Linked DNA regions of Mus musculus: all the other regions are reported to be linked to region 1. Evidence: microRNA targets listed by miRTarBase, many of them from high-throughput screens and not tested one by one. Region 1 holds a microRNA gene; each other region holds the end of a gene's coding sequence.

What was found. Region 1 holds the annotated microRNA mmu-miR-339-5p (UCCCUGUCCUCCAGGAGCUCACG, at 1,682-1,704, shown strand). A microRNA usually pairs through its seed, bases 2 to 8, with sites in the 3' UTR of a target mRNA and lowers its output. Matches are read on the target gene's strand: a 7mer-m8 pairs with bases 2 to 8, a 7mer-A1 pairs with bases 2 to 7 and ends in A, and an 8mer does both.
Region 2: miRTarBase lists Psmb11 as a target of mmu-miR-339-5p. The part of its 3' UTR that is shown has no 7-base or 8-base seed match.
Region 3: the mRNA of Pex13 is a reported target of mmu-miR-339-5p. Seed matches in the 3' UTR shown: 7mer-m8 at 2,099-2,105.
Region 4: miRTarBase lists Ctsa as a target of mmu-miR-339-5p. Seed matches in the 3' UTR shown: 8mer at 845-852 and 7mer-m8 at 1,767-1,773.

Annotation. Positions count from the first base shown.
Region 1 is chr5:139,368,325-139,371,411 of GRCm38, reverse strand. Mir339 (microRNA 339) reads left to right here and starts at 1,667; the gene lies at 1,667-1,762. All of the region lies in intron 2 of 3110082I17Rik (RIKEN cDNA 3110082I17 gene), which reads left to right.
Region 2 is chr14:54,625,924-54,629,010 of GRCm38, reverse strand. It overlaps Psmb11 (proteasome (prosome, macropain) subunit, beta type, 11), which reads right to left. Exons shown (of 1, transcript NM_175204.4): 1 at 1-3,087. The coding sequence ends at 2,776. Among named protein-coding and RNA genes, the nearest start is that of Psmb11, 2.2 kb to the right of the region's middle.
Region 3 is chr11:23,646,408-23,649,494 of GRCm38, reverse strand. Pex13 (peroxisomal biogenesis factor 13) reads left to right here. Exons shown (of 4, transcript NM_023651.5): 4 at 1-2,212. The coding sequence ends at 203. Among named protein-coding and RNA genes, the nearest start is that of 0610010F05Rik, 14 kb to the right of the region's middle.
Region 4 is chr2:164,838,996-164,842,082 of GRCm38, forward strand. Ctsa (cathepsin A) reads left to right here. Exons shown (of 15, transcript NM_008906.4): 15 at 156-2,037. The coding sequence ends at 239. It overlaps Pltp (phospholipid transfer protein), which reads right to left. Exons shown (of 16, transcript NM_011125.2): 13 at 1,500-1,542; 14 at 1,326-1,389; 15 at 1,119-1,195; 16 at 523-833. The coding sequence ends at 711. Among named protein-coding and RNA genes, the nearest start is that of Ctsa, 6.8 kb to the left of the region's middle.

The sequences.
Region 1 (3,087 bases):
TTCAAGCTTTAGAAATCCGCTCTGCATTATAATAGCAAGATCAGCACAAAAAGTAGGAACTATAGAGGATCCTGCGAGTGTTGTTTGTGCCCCAGTGTTTGTTCTGGTCATCTCTGCCCTCGTTGGCTCAGAGCTGTCTTCACATTTCTGCTGTTTTAAAAAAAGGGGGGTGGGGAGTTTTGGATTGCTAGGGAGTCACTTACCCAGGTGAGCAGAGACATCTGACCTTGCTTGCAGGGTGGTTGCTGGGCCCGTTGTAGCAGGAGAAATGGCCTTTCCTTGGCCACAGCAAGAAAGCTTCCATGACCTTAATGTCACTTGGGGGTCCACTAGGCAGTTTGGGATGTGTGAACACAGCTGCTCTACCAGAGGAAGCCAAAATCAAAAGCATTTTGATTACCGGCACACTCAAATAGAATTGGGAGTGGGGCACGTGGAAACCAGGCTAGAACAAGCATCCCTGGGTGGTGGGCATGCCGGGAAGCTCTAGAGAAGGGGATGTGGGTACCTGGCCCTGGCTAGAAAGAAGGCCTCCAGCTAGGGCGAAGGAGGCAGACTGCAGCTGAAATGAGACTGAGTCTCGCTCGGCTCAGGGACGCAGCGCAGGCTCTGCACAGTACACAGGTTCTTGTGTCAGCAGGCTTTTCCTGGCCTGGGAATGCTCAGTTATAGATGCAAGCCCCTCCCTCTCCTTCACTTCAGGGTCTCCTACTGCAGGGGTCTGATTAGAGACCTCCCCATCTCCCCCGCTGCAGGGCCCTCTTCCCTGCCTGTTGGCTGCTTTCTGCCATTTCTGAGTAGACCTAGGTGGGAGCTTGTTGTGTGTGTCGCCCTCACGCCCGTGATTCAGGTGGCAGGGGCTGACTCTGTCCTTGCTCTTGGACCAGGAGCTTCACTGATGGCCGAGTTGGGCTTCCCACTTAAACTTGTGCCAGAGCTGCTGGGACCAGTTCCTGTGATCTGCAGGCAAAGGGACGGAAGTTTTATCTTCTGGAGCCAGCCCCTCAGCCTAGTCAAGGAAATCTGCACCCTGTTCAAGCTCCTGGGGTCTGTCTGCTCCTGTGTTGGAACTGGGGACATGTGAGATAGCAGTGGGAGAGGTTAGACCTAGAAAACCCATGGGACCTTCATAACCTTGTTGGTGGGGCCAGTCAGCCTGAGTCAGGTGAGCTGAGGCCAGAGAGCCAAGAAAACCGATGTATAGTCGGGGACTCACAGCCTAGAGGCCTTGTGGTCTGTGCTGGAGTCTGTGAGAAAGTTAATTCTCTGGGCAGCCTGAGGTCAAGACTTAGGCTTTAGCCTGTGTTTAACCCCCAAGTAAGTGACACAGGGTGTTTCTGCCGTGACTGCAGAAGGACCTGTGGCCTGGACAGAGCCTGGGCTTGGTGGCGGTGACAACATCACCTCTGGGGATTCGTGTGTCCTGTGGCAGCTGGTGATGGCCCAGTCTCCTGTTTCTCAGGGATACATCAGATCTGCTGCTCACTTCCGCCATTCAGGTCACTGAGGAGGCAGGGTGCCGCATCTGTCATCTTTGTCTTTTTCAAGCATGGGGCTTAAGTGACATTTTGTGCATTTGAAAAGTCATATCTAGAAGGGGATCCCTAGGTGGGTGTGACCCTTGCCTTGGCACCAAGGTGGTGAGAGCACAGCTGTGCAGAGCTGGACGGGGTGGCCACTATCCCTGTCCTCCAGGAGCTCACGTATGCCTGCCTGTGAGCGCCTCGGCGACAGAGCCGGTGTCCACCCCTGCACTGTCCACAGACCCTTGCCTGCAGACCAGGGTGCTCAGTCGCTGGCTGTTCATGCTGTACCTTCTTGAACTCGATTGTGCAGATCTGCAGGTTGTTCCGTGGATGGAGGGGACTCTGGTTTCTCTGTGCGGTGACGCAAGGCACTGACCCCTCTGGGGTCCTAATCATCTTAACCTACGCAGACACTGAGGGGGAGGGGAGAGGAGCCAGGAGGGAGCCTTCCAGGTCTCTCCCTCTGTGTGTGTCCTCTGTAGCACCAGTTGATTCTACTGCGTGTGACCTATGTCCTGGCAGTTGGTGTCCCTGGGTCACTTCTACATCCACTGTGTTTCAGTAATTACCTCCAAATAAAAAGCTTCCTTTAAAACAAACTCTCTCCCCTCTCTTCATTATGTTGTTGTGCTTTTGCTTTGTCTTCTGGAAATCTTGCTACCGAGTGAGTGCATAGCCGGGCAGCAGTCTGCTGAGGTCTGTGAACCGGAATGGGCTCTCAAGGTCGAACACCTCTGTGGGACCCTGGACTCGGGCTGGCTCCAACTGAATGGAGGAGGGCTGATTCTGGGCTGGGGAATGAGAACAGAGTCCACTGGCCTTGGCACCCAGCTCGTCAGCCTCAGCAGGCTTCGTGGTCTCCCCCCACAAACATCGCTGTCACTTGTAGGCCATTCCCAATGTCTGGGGAACAGGTATAGGGGTGGTAGGGACCAGAGACCATGCCCCAGCCTTGGAGGCACCACCTGGGTATGTGATAGACAGGCCAGGTGCTGGGCTCCATCGACCATCTGCTGTGCCCTTGGGACTCTGTCCTGTGTGAAGCGGGTCAAATGACTGGATTCCCTGCCACTCAGCTGCGCCCCCAGTACAGCTGCTCTGGTCACATGATGGGGTGGGGACAACAGAGGGTCCTTCTACCCTCACCTGTGTTCATCCTTACACCTGACTCAGTCATTCCAAGAAAGAAGGTCCTACAGAGCTGTGTGTCTGGCACTGGCTACCAGGGCCTCTACTGCCAAGGTCTACAACTAACCTTTGAGGGGTTTTTGTTTATGTTTGAGACAGACTTGCTAAGCTCAAGCTAGCCTTGGACTTTCAATCCTCAGGACATATTCACCAACCTCCTCCACAATTCCAAGAACGTTTGAACAAGATGTTTTTGAGCCCAGTGGATGCTCAAAAACGCTGGGCATTGACTGCCTCCCCAGGACAGCACAAATCCCTATTAAGAGAATATCCCCAGTCATACTGCCCCAGCACAGGTGATGCCCTGGCCAGGGCCAGCAGCTCCTTCTAGCTGTGTGGAGAAGGAGAACATCTCTCTGCCCTGTGAACTTCA
Region 2 (3,087 bases), not on the chromosome of region 1:
GCATGTGACATGCATACATACATACATGCATACATGCATACACTCATATTTAAAGTCAACAACAACAACAAGACAAACATTTCCTCAAACACTGTTTAAATGTTTTCCTGGTTCATGTATTTACACAGTGTATCTTTTTCCTATCCTTTTCCACATGTCAGTCCTGGGGACTAAACTCGTATGTCATCGGGTTTGGTGGCAAGTACCTTTACCTGCAGAGCCATCTCTCAGCCCCTCGAAATTCTTACAGGGTTTGGGGATACAAGCTCATCAGCAAAACCTGTAAGCTTACATATCTCATCACCTGCCAAGAAGAATGAAGATCAAGAATAAGAATAAGATCATGAATAAGACCAAGAATAAGATCATGGAAGGAAGAGAGAGGAGAGAGGAGGAGACGGATGTAGATGCAAGTTCTGCTCTTTCAGGGTTCTAGCCTCCTTGTCCAGTCTGAGAAGAGAGGCACAGAGCATCTCAGGGGATTGAGATGCACAGCAGCCTTTGGCTGGTCCCAGATGTTCATCCCAGGTCCCAGACCATCCCTCTGCCCCTGCCTCTGTTCACTGCCTGAAAGCCTCAGAGTAGACCAGGGTGAGGAGCAGCCATAGGCTCCTATACAGCCCCGCCCCAACCTCCTCTTTTTTGTGGCTCTCCACTGTGCATGATGGCTAGCGCTGGGCTACACAGGCTGCAGCGGCTGCTCTGAGTCAAGTGCTGCTCCTCTCTCTTCCACAGAACAACACCACATGCCTCGCCCACCACACTGAAGTGCAGATGCCTATCTTAACTCATTCCCCGACAGCTGGACATAAGACCCTCATCAATGGCCATGAATCTGAACCCACTTATGCCTGTGCAAAAGTTACCTCTCAGGCTGGAGAGGTGGCTCAGAGGTTAAGAGCACTGCCTGCTCTTCCAGAGGTCCTGAGTTCAAATCCCAGCAACCACACGGTGGCTCACAATCATCTGTAATGGGATCTGATGCCCTCTTCTGGTGTGTTTGAAAACAGGACATTAAAAGAAATAAATCTTAAAAAAAAAAAAAATGACCTCTCCTCATTTGCTTCTTCAGTATCCCTAACCTTTGGATGTCACTCCTGGAGGATCATATCTCTTCCCCAAGGCTAGGAAGTTTGCAGGGGATGAAGGATGCTTTGAAGGCCAATAGCCAGATTTCTACCCTGGCTTGCAAGCCAGACCCCATGTATTGGGAACCTTTCTGTAGCACTCTGGGTTTGGGAGTTTGTTTGTTTCTTGTTTTTTGTAGGGTTGTTTGTTTGTTTGTTTGTTTGTTTGTTTGGCTTGGTTTGGCTTGGCTTGGTTTGGTTTGGTTTGGTTTGGTTTGGTTTGGTTTGGTTTGGTTTGGTTTGGTTTGGTTTGGTTTGGTTTGGTTTTTCAAGACAGGGTTTCTCTGTGTAGCCCTGGCTGTCCTGGAACTCACTCTGTAGACCAGGCTGGCCTCCAACTCAGAAATCCGCCTGCTGCTGCCTACTGAGTGCTGGGATTAAAGTTGTGCATCACCACTGCCCATCCTCCATTTTCTCTGGGCTCCCCAGCTTGCCTTTTGACTCTCCAGAGTTTGGAGAGTCTGGGTAAGAATCTGTAAGTCTAAGTCTGATTTCAAAGAATTCTTAATTCGAAGTGCACACTGTCAAGGAAGGAGAAGCAGTTGTCAGTCTTAGGACTGGAGGCTTCAGGTGAGAGGAAAGTTCTTTGGGTTCCCTTTCTCTGGATGCCCAGCCCTGAGGAGGAGGCAGTGGTGTTCCTGAAGCTGAAATCCTGGACGTCCAGAGCAGGCCAGGAAGGCCAGATGTGCTAGCTGGCACCAGAGGCACAGCACCCTGCCTCTGGTCTTCATTCTCCAGCAGGAGCAACCAGGAGAGGCCGGAGCGAAGAAGCAGGGAGAGATCTGCAGGGTAGAGAGCAGGGATGTGTGTGCTACAGGGCATGGCTCAAACCCTGACCAACACAGCAAGATGAGACCGGGAATGGGCAGCTTCTCTGAGCTCTTCCCTCCAAGCCCATGAGTTCCTTGGAGTTCATTCATCTCCAGACAACAGGCAGGGGTTTGGCCCATTCCCCAGAAGCCTGCAATGCAGGCAGAAAAACAAGGCAAGACAGTGGAGGCTGGGAGGGAAAGATGCAGAGAGCTGGGGAAGGATTAAGAGTGTCTTAAGCCCCACAACATTGTCACCTACTGTAACCTGCGTAAGTCCTGTAACTCTCTAAACCTGACCCAGCTTCAATAAACAATCATGCTTGCAAAAGCTGTCATGGGAACTGCACTCAGTATAGGTGGAATCATTATAGCCATTACAGTCATGGTGGGGGTCAGGGTGTGGAGGGCCAGCAGAGACAAGCCCATCACTAAACTAGGCTCTCTCCTGGCCATTCAGCCTGACCAAGTTGAAAAGGTGACCAGCTGAAAGAGAAAACAAACCAGATAAGGACCAAAATGAGAATACCAACTGGGGTAGAATGACAAAAGAGGGCCCAGCACATAGCATGACAGTTGGCACAAAGTAGGCATGCAATGAGTGTTTGTTTAGTCACTTTAGAGGCAGAAGGAGGCAATACCATCCATCAGGTATCATCAGAACATGTTGGACAGAGACATCAGTAGCTCTGGGAAGCAGAGAGGATGGGAACTTAAACAAAGCAGGAAACCCAAAAGGGCCAGAGCCAGATGCCCGGGGCTGCTCCCAGAACTAACCCTGCCAAGGCAGCTTCATCCCCTAGTCCCTTGTCCTGGCAGTCCCCAAGTTCTGTCCTTTCTTACATTGTTTCAGTCTTCATTATTATCGCGCAGTCTTCTGGCGTCACCTCCTCTTGCTCCACAAAGAGTTCTTTACATTCTCGAGCACCTTGCGGCGTGGCAGGCTCAGGATAGATTCCACAAGCTTTTGCCTCCAGCTCCTGCTCCAAGCTCCGGGCTTTCTGCAGCTCCCTATACAGCACGCAAGCATCACTGCGGGATACATACTCCCATCCGCTCTCCCGAACGTGGAAGAGGTCCACTGAGCCCCCTGAATAAGCATCACGGTGGGTGGCATGGGCCACAGCACAGCGGGCCAGGGTGTAGGCTTC
Region 3 (3,087 bases), not on the chromosome of region 1:
GAAGAGGCAGAAAAACAATAGAATCGAGTACAATGCTCAAGCAACAACAGTCTTTTACCAACCCAACATTAATTAAAGGAGTCACTACCACCAATCCTTTGGATGAACAGGAAGCTGCCTTTGAATCTGTTTTTGTTGAAACTAATAAGGTTTCCAGTGCACCTGATTCTACAGGGAAAAATGGAGACAAACAAGATCTTTGATGTGTTTCATGTTTGTGGGCAGGTGAACAATATTTTAGAGTATTTTAAAAAATCATTTCTTACAGAGAAATTAATTTGCAGTTGAATGAAAGCATTTGCTCGTGGCTGTGCCGAGTGTTCTGCTGCTAGAAGTTATGTAGTCACACGCTAGCTGCTAGTCAAGTGATCTGTCTACACTTGACTGTCTTGTGGACCACGAGGACATTTGTTTCACCTAGTTTTTAAGATTATGGAGATAGTTGTCAGCTCCATCTTATCTCAGTCCCTAGGCTTATTGGAACAGTAAATTTGATGAACAGTAGAACACACAAGCTGCCTCAGAAGGGATCATTAACGCTTCTTAAAGTTCTGAGTTAGTTGACTTGAAGTCTTCAAAAATTGAGTGATAACATCTACTTATAAGAACAGACAAAAGGCTAATTTTTTTAACCTTATAAATAAACTAAATAATAAAAATTTTCTCATCTGTATTATGTCCAGTGTTGAATTTACTTTAGGTGATGTGTTTTTACCAGCAAATAATTGATAGTATTATCTTTTATTGTATTTATAAAAGTGTGTTCTTAAGAGGTCACTGGAGCACTGTGAAGAAGATGGTTCTGACTGACAGCTTCTTAACCTCCTTACAGTGTCACAGATCTCATCCTGAGCGAGTCACAATATATAGCTAGATCTCATCCTGAGCGAGTCACAATATATGGATTTTTGTTCTTTTCCTCCAACTAAGGCAGGAGTCCTTTAAGATTATACTTAATGATATAATCAATTCTGGCAGTAATGATTTTTAATCCTGAATTTTCTGCTTCTATATAAGATAATTACTTTTGTAAATTCCAAAATCAGGTTATACATTAAATATTTGAAATATGTCTGTCGGGGTTGGGGATTTAGCTCAGTGGTAGAGCGCTTGCTTGCAAGGCCCTGGGTTCGGTCCTCAGCTCTGGAAAGAAAAACACAAAATAACAAAAGGACCAAAAAAACCCAAGGTAACTGAAATATGTCTGTCACATTGGATAGATTTCTTGTGGTTTTCACTACTGAGACTATAATTTGCTTGCTATTTCAAATACGATGACTTTTTGTTTGGTTGTTTTTTTTTGCTTAATAGTGAATTTTATGTGTTTCCCCATAGAATTGGAAGCTTTATACGCTTGCTGTGAATATACTACAGATTAGAACTGTCAGAAATAAATCACAGAATTCATTTATAGACACTACTAACAGCTGTGGGTTTTGATAAAAAGTGATTTGGGTTTTGCTTCTTTCATATAGATAGGTTTATCAAATAAATAATTCTGGAGGAGTTCATATTAAACCATGTCTAACCCAATATCTGCTCAGAACAGAAGCACTAAAGACTTCCTAGGAAGCCCTTTTTTGAAATGACAATATAATAAGTAATGTATCTTTTCATCTTAAGATAGAGAGAAGCATTTACGGTACTCATTTATCTTTTAGGCTGATTTTTCTGACATTCAGTAGTAACTTTTCAGTTGAGAAAGGGGGTTGAATAATCTACCACTGAGGCATGGCCCTGACTCTCAAAGGTTTTAACAAATATTTACTTCTGACTTGAGATGCCTGAACTTTTCTCATGTCTAAATGTTACTCCAGACATCTAGACTAAGCACTAGGAGTAAAGTAGAAATAAAATGTTGAGTCAGCACTATTTAGGTTTGGGGTGTTGTTTTGTTTTAGAAGATGAGCTTTAAAATAGGATTTGTGACTAATATTTCAGTTGTATAGGAAAGAGCTTAGACAAATAAATGATAAAACTTTCTTTTAGGGTCTTTATTGTTTGGCTGTCTATGCTAGATTATATAGTATTAACCTAATAACTACCTGTGTCCATTCTTTTTTATTTGTTTGTTTGTTTGTTTGTTTGTTTGTTTCAAGACAGGGTTTCTCTGTATAGGCCTGGCTGTCCTGGAACTCACTTTGTAGACCAGACTGGCTTCGAACTCAGAAATCTGCCTCCCAAGTGCTGGGATTAAAGGCATGCGCCACCACCGCTCGGCCTGTGTCCATTCTTTATTAAAGTCTTAGAAAAACAGTTGTAGGACTAGAGTGGCAGAAAGTTTTGTGGTTTAGAGTAAATGAATAGATTGGTCACAGCTCCAATATAATTTTAGGGACTTCCTGAAGTAGCATTACATCACAGGAAACTACACTTTCAATTAAATAATTCATAAGCTACAGTAAGAAACTAGATATCAGAAGCTTTAATTGTATTTTGTCAGCTTGGGAAGAAAAAGATTAAAGGACTATAAATGCATTTTCATGTTCTACATCTTACTCAAGTCTTAGCCAATTATTCATTTACCTGAGTGCAGCGGCTCTTTATTTTATGCTGTCTTTACTGGAAAAAGAAATGAAATACAGTTAAATTTGTATTTTTAATAGGTTGTGAAAATACTTTACTGGAGAATTAAAAATATTTGAAACTTAATTTCTTTTTTTAAGATTATAGCTGCAACAGAACCATAACATATACTCCACACAAAGCACAGTACAATGTGAATGCATGCATGTTCCTCTCTCTGCTAATAACAAGAAGAGTGTTTCTTTTAGTGTTCACATGTACTGTTAGTTAAAACGCATTAAGTGGTAAAGGGGTGTTTATAAGAAGAACCAAAGAACTCTTCTAACAAATAGATGTCATGTTCTAAATGTGATAAGTGAGTTATTAATGGTATGTGATTTTCTTTGGTTTGTAACACTATGACTTTACCGTATTTTCACGTGTACATTTCACAGAAGATTCTACGTTATAGCTGGAGGAAAAGTACTTTATCAAAGATGCTACACAAAACAAAGTACAGCCTGAATGCGTGTGTATTTCTCCTGTGCTAAGAACCAGAAGAGTGTTTCTTTTCACTTGTAC
Region 4 (3,087 bases), not on the chromosome of region 1:
AGTGGTGTGACTTCCCCGTCTCTCTCTGATGATTCTGGGTCACCCTTGATGCATTGGGCGAGCTTGCAGGGTGAGGAGGTGAAGAAGGAAGCGGCTGGAAGTGAGGGGTGATGCATGTTGGGGATCCAGATCTCTCATAAAGCTTTGCTCCCCAGGGTGCCGGACACATGGTCCCCACGGACAAGCCTCGAGCTGCTTTTACCATGTTCTCGAGGTTCCTGAACAAAGAGCCTTACTGATAGCTTCCGCTGCAACCCATGGAAATCCTCAGTACCTGATCAGCCCCTCTCGGCCTCTCTCAGCAGAGAGGAGTCCTCCGCTAATGCTCCCGTGGGGCAAGTCCTGTACTAAAACTGCCCAGACTTCTCACAGCCTGGTGCATCCCAGCCTGGGCCTCAGGGCGTCACAGACAGCCTAGGACCAAGTGAGCACTTTGTTCCGGCCATCGTGGGGTGGCCTGACCTCCCCGACTGCATAAAAACTGACCACCCCAGGACCCCAACAGAGCTAGAGAAACCCAAGGAGGGGGGTGGATGGATTCTAATTGATGGTTGACTAATTCTGGAATTAAATCGGGTATAGCTTCCAACTGGGCTCTTCTCTGTGGCACCGGGACCACTAACACTGTAGATGGGAAGGGGTTGGCAGGGGGTGCAGAGAAGACTTCAGTTAGGTTCCTGAATGCCAGCCACCCAGGTGGGGTGATGGGCTCAGGCAGCTGCAGCAGAGGGTGGGGGGACATGGGAGGCCGCAACGTCTGCAGGACGGTTCTTGTCAATCACTTCTCGAAGCCCTTTGGCAAAGTGGAGGTCAGCCCCAACAGTGACGAAGCCCTGCGGGAGGGGACAGGGAGCCTGGCTGGTTCAGTTGTTTGGAAACAGCCTCCAAACAAACACAAGACTCTTGAGCAAATCCCCTCAGGGGCCCCAGCTGCTTTGCGGCGTGGCGTATGTTCTCTGGAGCATGGCCCTGCTTCTAAGTTAAATCTTTACTACTTAAATAATATATATGTGAAGGAGCAACTAGTGTAAAGGGGTTTCGGGAAAACAGACAAGCACTGGGGTGTTGTAGGGACAGGAATGCCCTGGTCTACGGCCTCCTTTCCACAATGTACTTACCGCGTGGTTGGTCACCACCTCACGCACGAAGTTGATACCCTCAGGAAGGGGGATCTGCACCCCACGCCAGGTACGCTCTGTGGATGAGAGAGGCAAGCTCAGCCTGGGTGTCCATCAGTCCATCTGTGTCGTCATGTCCACCATCCACCGCCGTCCCCCCTTTGTTAGTCCGTGTCCCCACTCCATCCTCCCACCCTCAGTCCCTACCGTTCAGCAAAGGCATCACTCCGATTTGCAGCAGTGTCTTCAGTGGGGCCTGCAGTGGGATCAGCTGAGGGGGAAAAAAAAGGCAGGGGGGGGCGACAGACAGTGCATACAGGTTTGAGTGAGCGGCCAACTTGCCCCGAGGCCTGGACCCACCCTTTGCCATCCCCAACTCACCGCCAGAGACTCCAGCGCAGACTGATTTGAGTAGATTTGAAACCTGTGGGAGAGAAATACACCGTGAAACCTGGGAACACCCTTTCCTTGGGCCCTACCTAAAAGATGGCAGCAAGTGACAGCCTTCCCAGTTCTATCCAATCATCCTTCAGGTAGCTGCCATTTCCCAGGTGTGCATCCCTGAGTGCCTTTGGTCTCTGGAGCCCCCTTTCTTTAAGCCTACTGCTTTTCTTTTTTTTTTTCTTTTGTCTTTTTTTTTTTTTTTGAGACAGGGCTTCTCTGTGTAGCCCTGGCTGTCCTGGAACTCACTCTGTAGACCAGGTTGGCCTGGAGCTCTGAAATCCGCCTGCCTCAGAGTGCTGGAATTAAAGGCGTGCGCCACCACTGCCCGGCGCCTGCTGTTTTTCATTTGTCAGGAATGCCTATGTGCCACGCTCTGCGGCTAGGTAAATAAGTATGGTTTTATCTAAGGAAATTCCAACAATCTTTACTCTCTGTCAGATACCAAACTTATTCAAAAGAATTAAAATGGCTCTGCAAAATGGCTCAGTGTGGTGGGTAAAGGGCCCGACTGCTTGAGTTTGATCCCTAGGGCACACATGGTAGAGGGGAGACTGGACAGGTTGACCTTTGACCATCAATGCACTGTGTGACACGTGAGTGCCCTCACACATAAATGCATATGTTCATAAGCTCACACACACGAGTTAATTACAAAAAGGAAAGCCTGCCAGCTGTGTTGGCCCATTTCTTTAATCCCAGCACTCAGGAGGCAGAGGCAGGTGGCTTTCTTTGAGTTTGCAAACAGCCCCAGTGAGATTTTTTTTTTTTTTTGTCTCAAAATGGGTTTGAGGAGGGGCACAATACTGAAGAGATGGCTTAGAGGGCTTGCTGCTAGCTGGGCAGTGGTGGAACACGCACTTGGGAGGCAGAGGCAGGCGGATTTCTGAGTTCGAGGCCAGCCTGGTCTACAGAGTAAGTTCCAAGACAGTCAGGACTACACAGAGAAATCCTGTCTTGAAAAACAAAACAAAAAGGGGGGGGGGGGGAGGAGGCTTGCTGCTCTTCTAGCGGATCTGAATTCGGTTCCCAGTGCCCACATCTGGCAGCTCACATGGCTTATAACTCCAGCTTCAGGGTATCTGAAGCATTCTGATCTCTCCAGGCTCCCGTACATATACATATTACACACCACACCACACACACACATACACACCACATGCATACATCACACACATCGCACACCACACCACATACACACCATGCATACACACATTCCACACACATACCACACACTTATCAAATAAGAGGACAGGAGAAAGTTGATGGATGGTTCAGTGTCTAAGAGCTCATACTTCTCGGGGGAACCAGCACCCATGACACACAATTGACGACGTCCTGGAACTCCAGGAGAGGGCATTACTTTTGCACCTACATGCACACACACATACCCACACATACAAATTTGAGAGCTGCCAAGGTGGCACAGACCTTTAATCTCAACATCCTGCCATTAATCTCCAGACGCAGGGGGTCTCTGTGAGTTCCAGGCTAGCCTGGTCTACATATTAAGACCCTGTCTCATTCA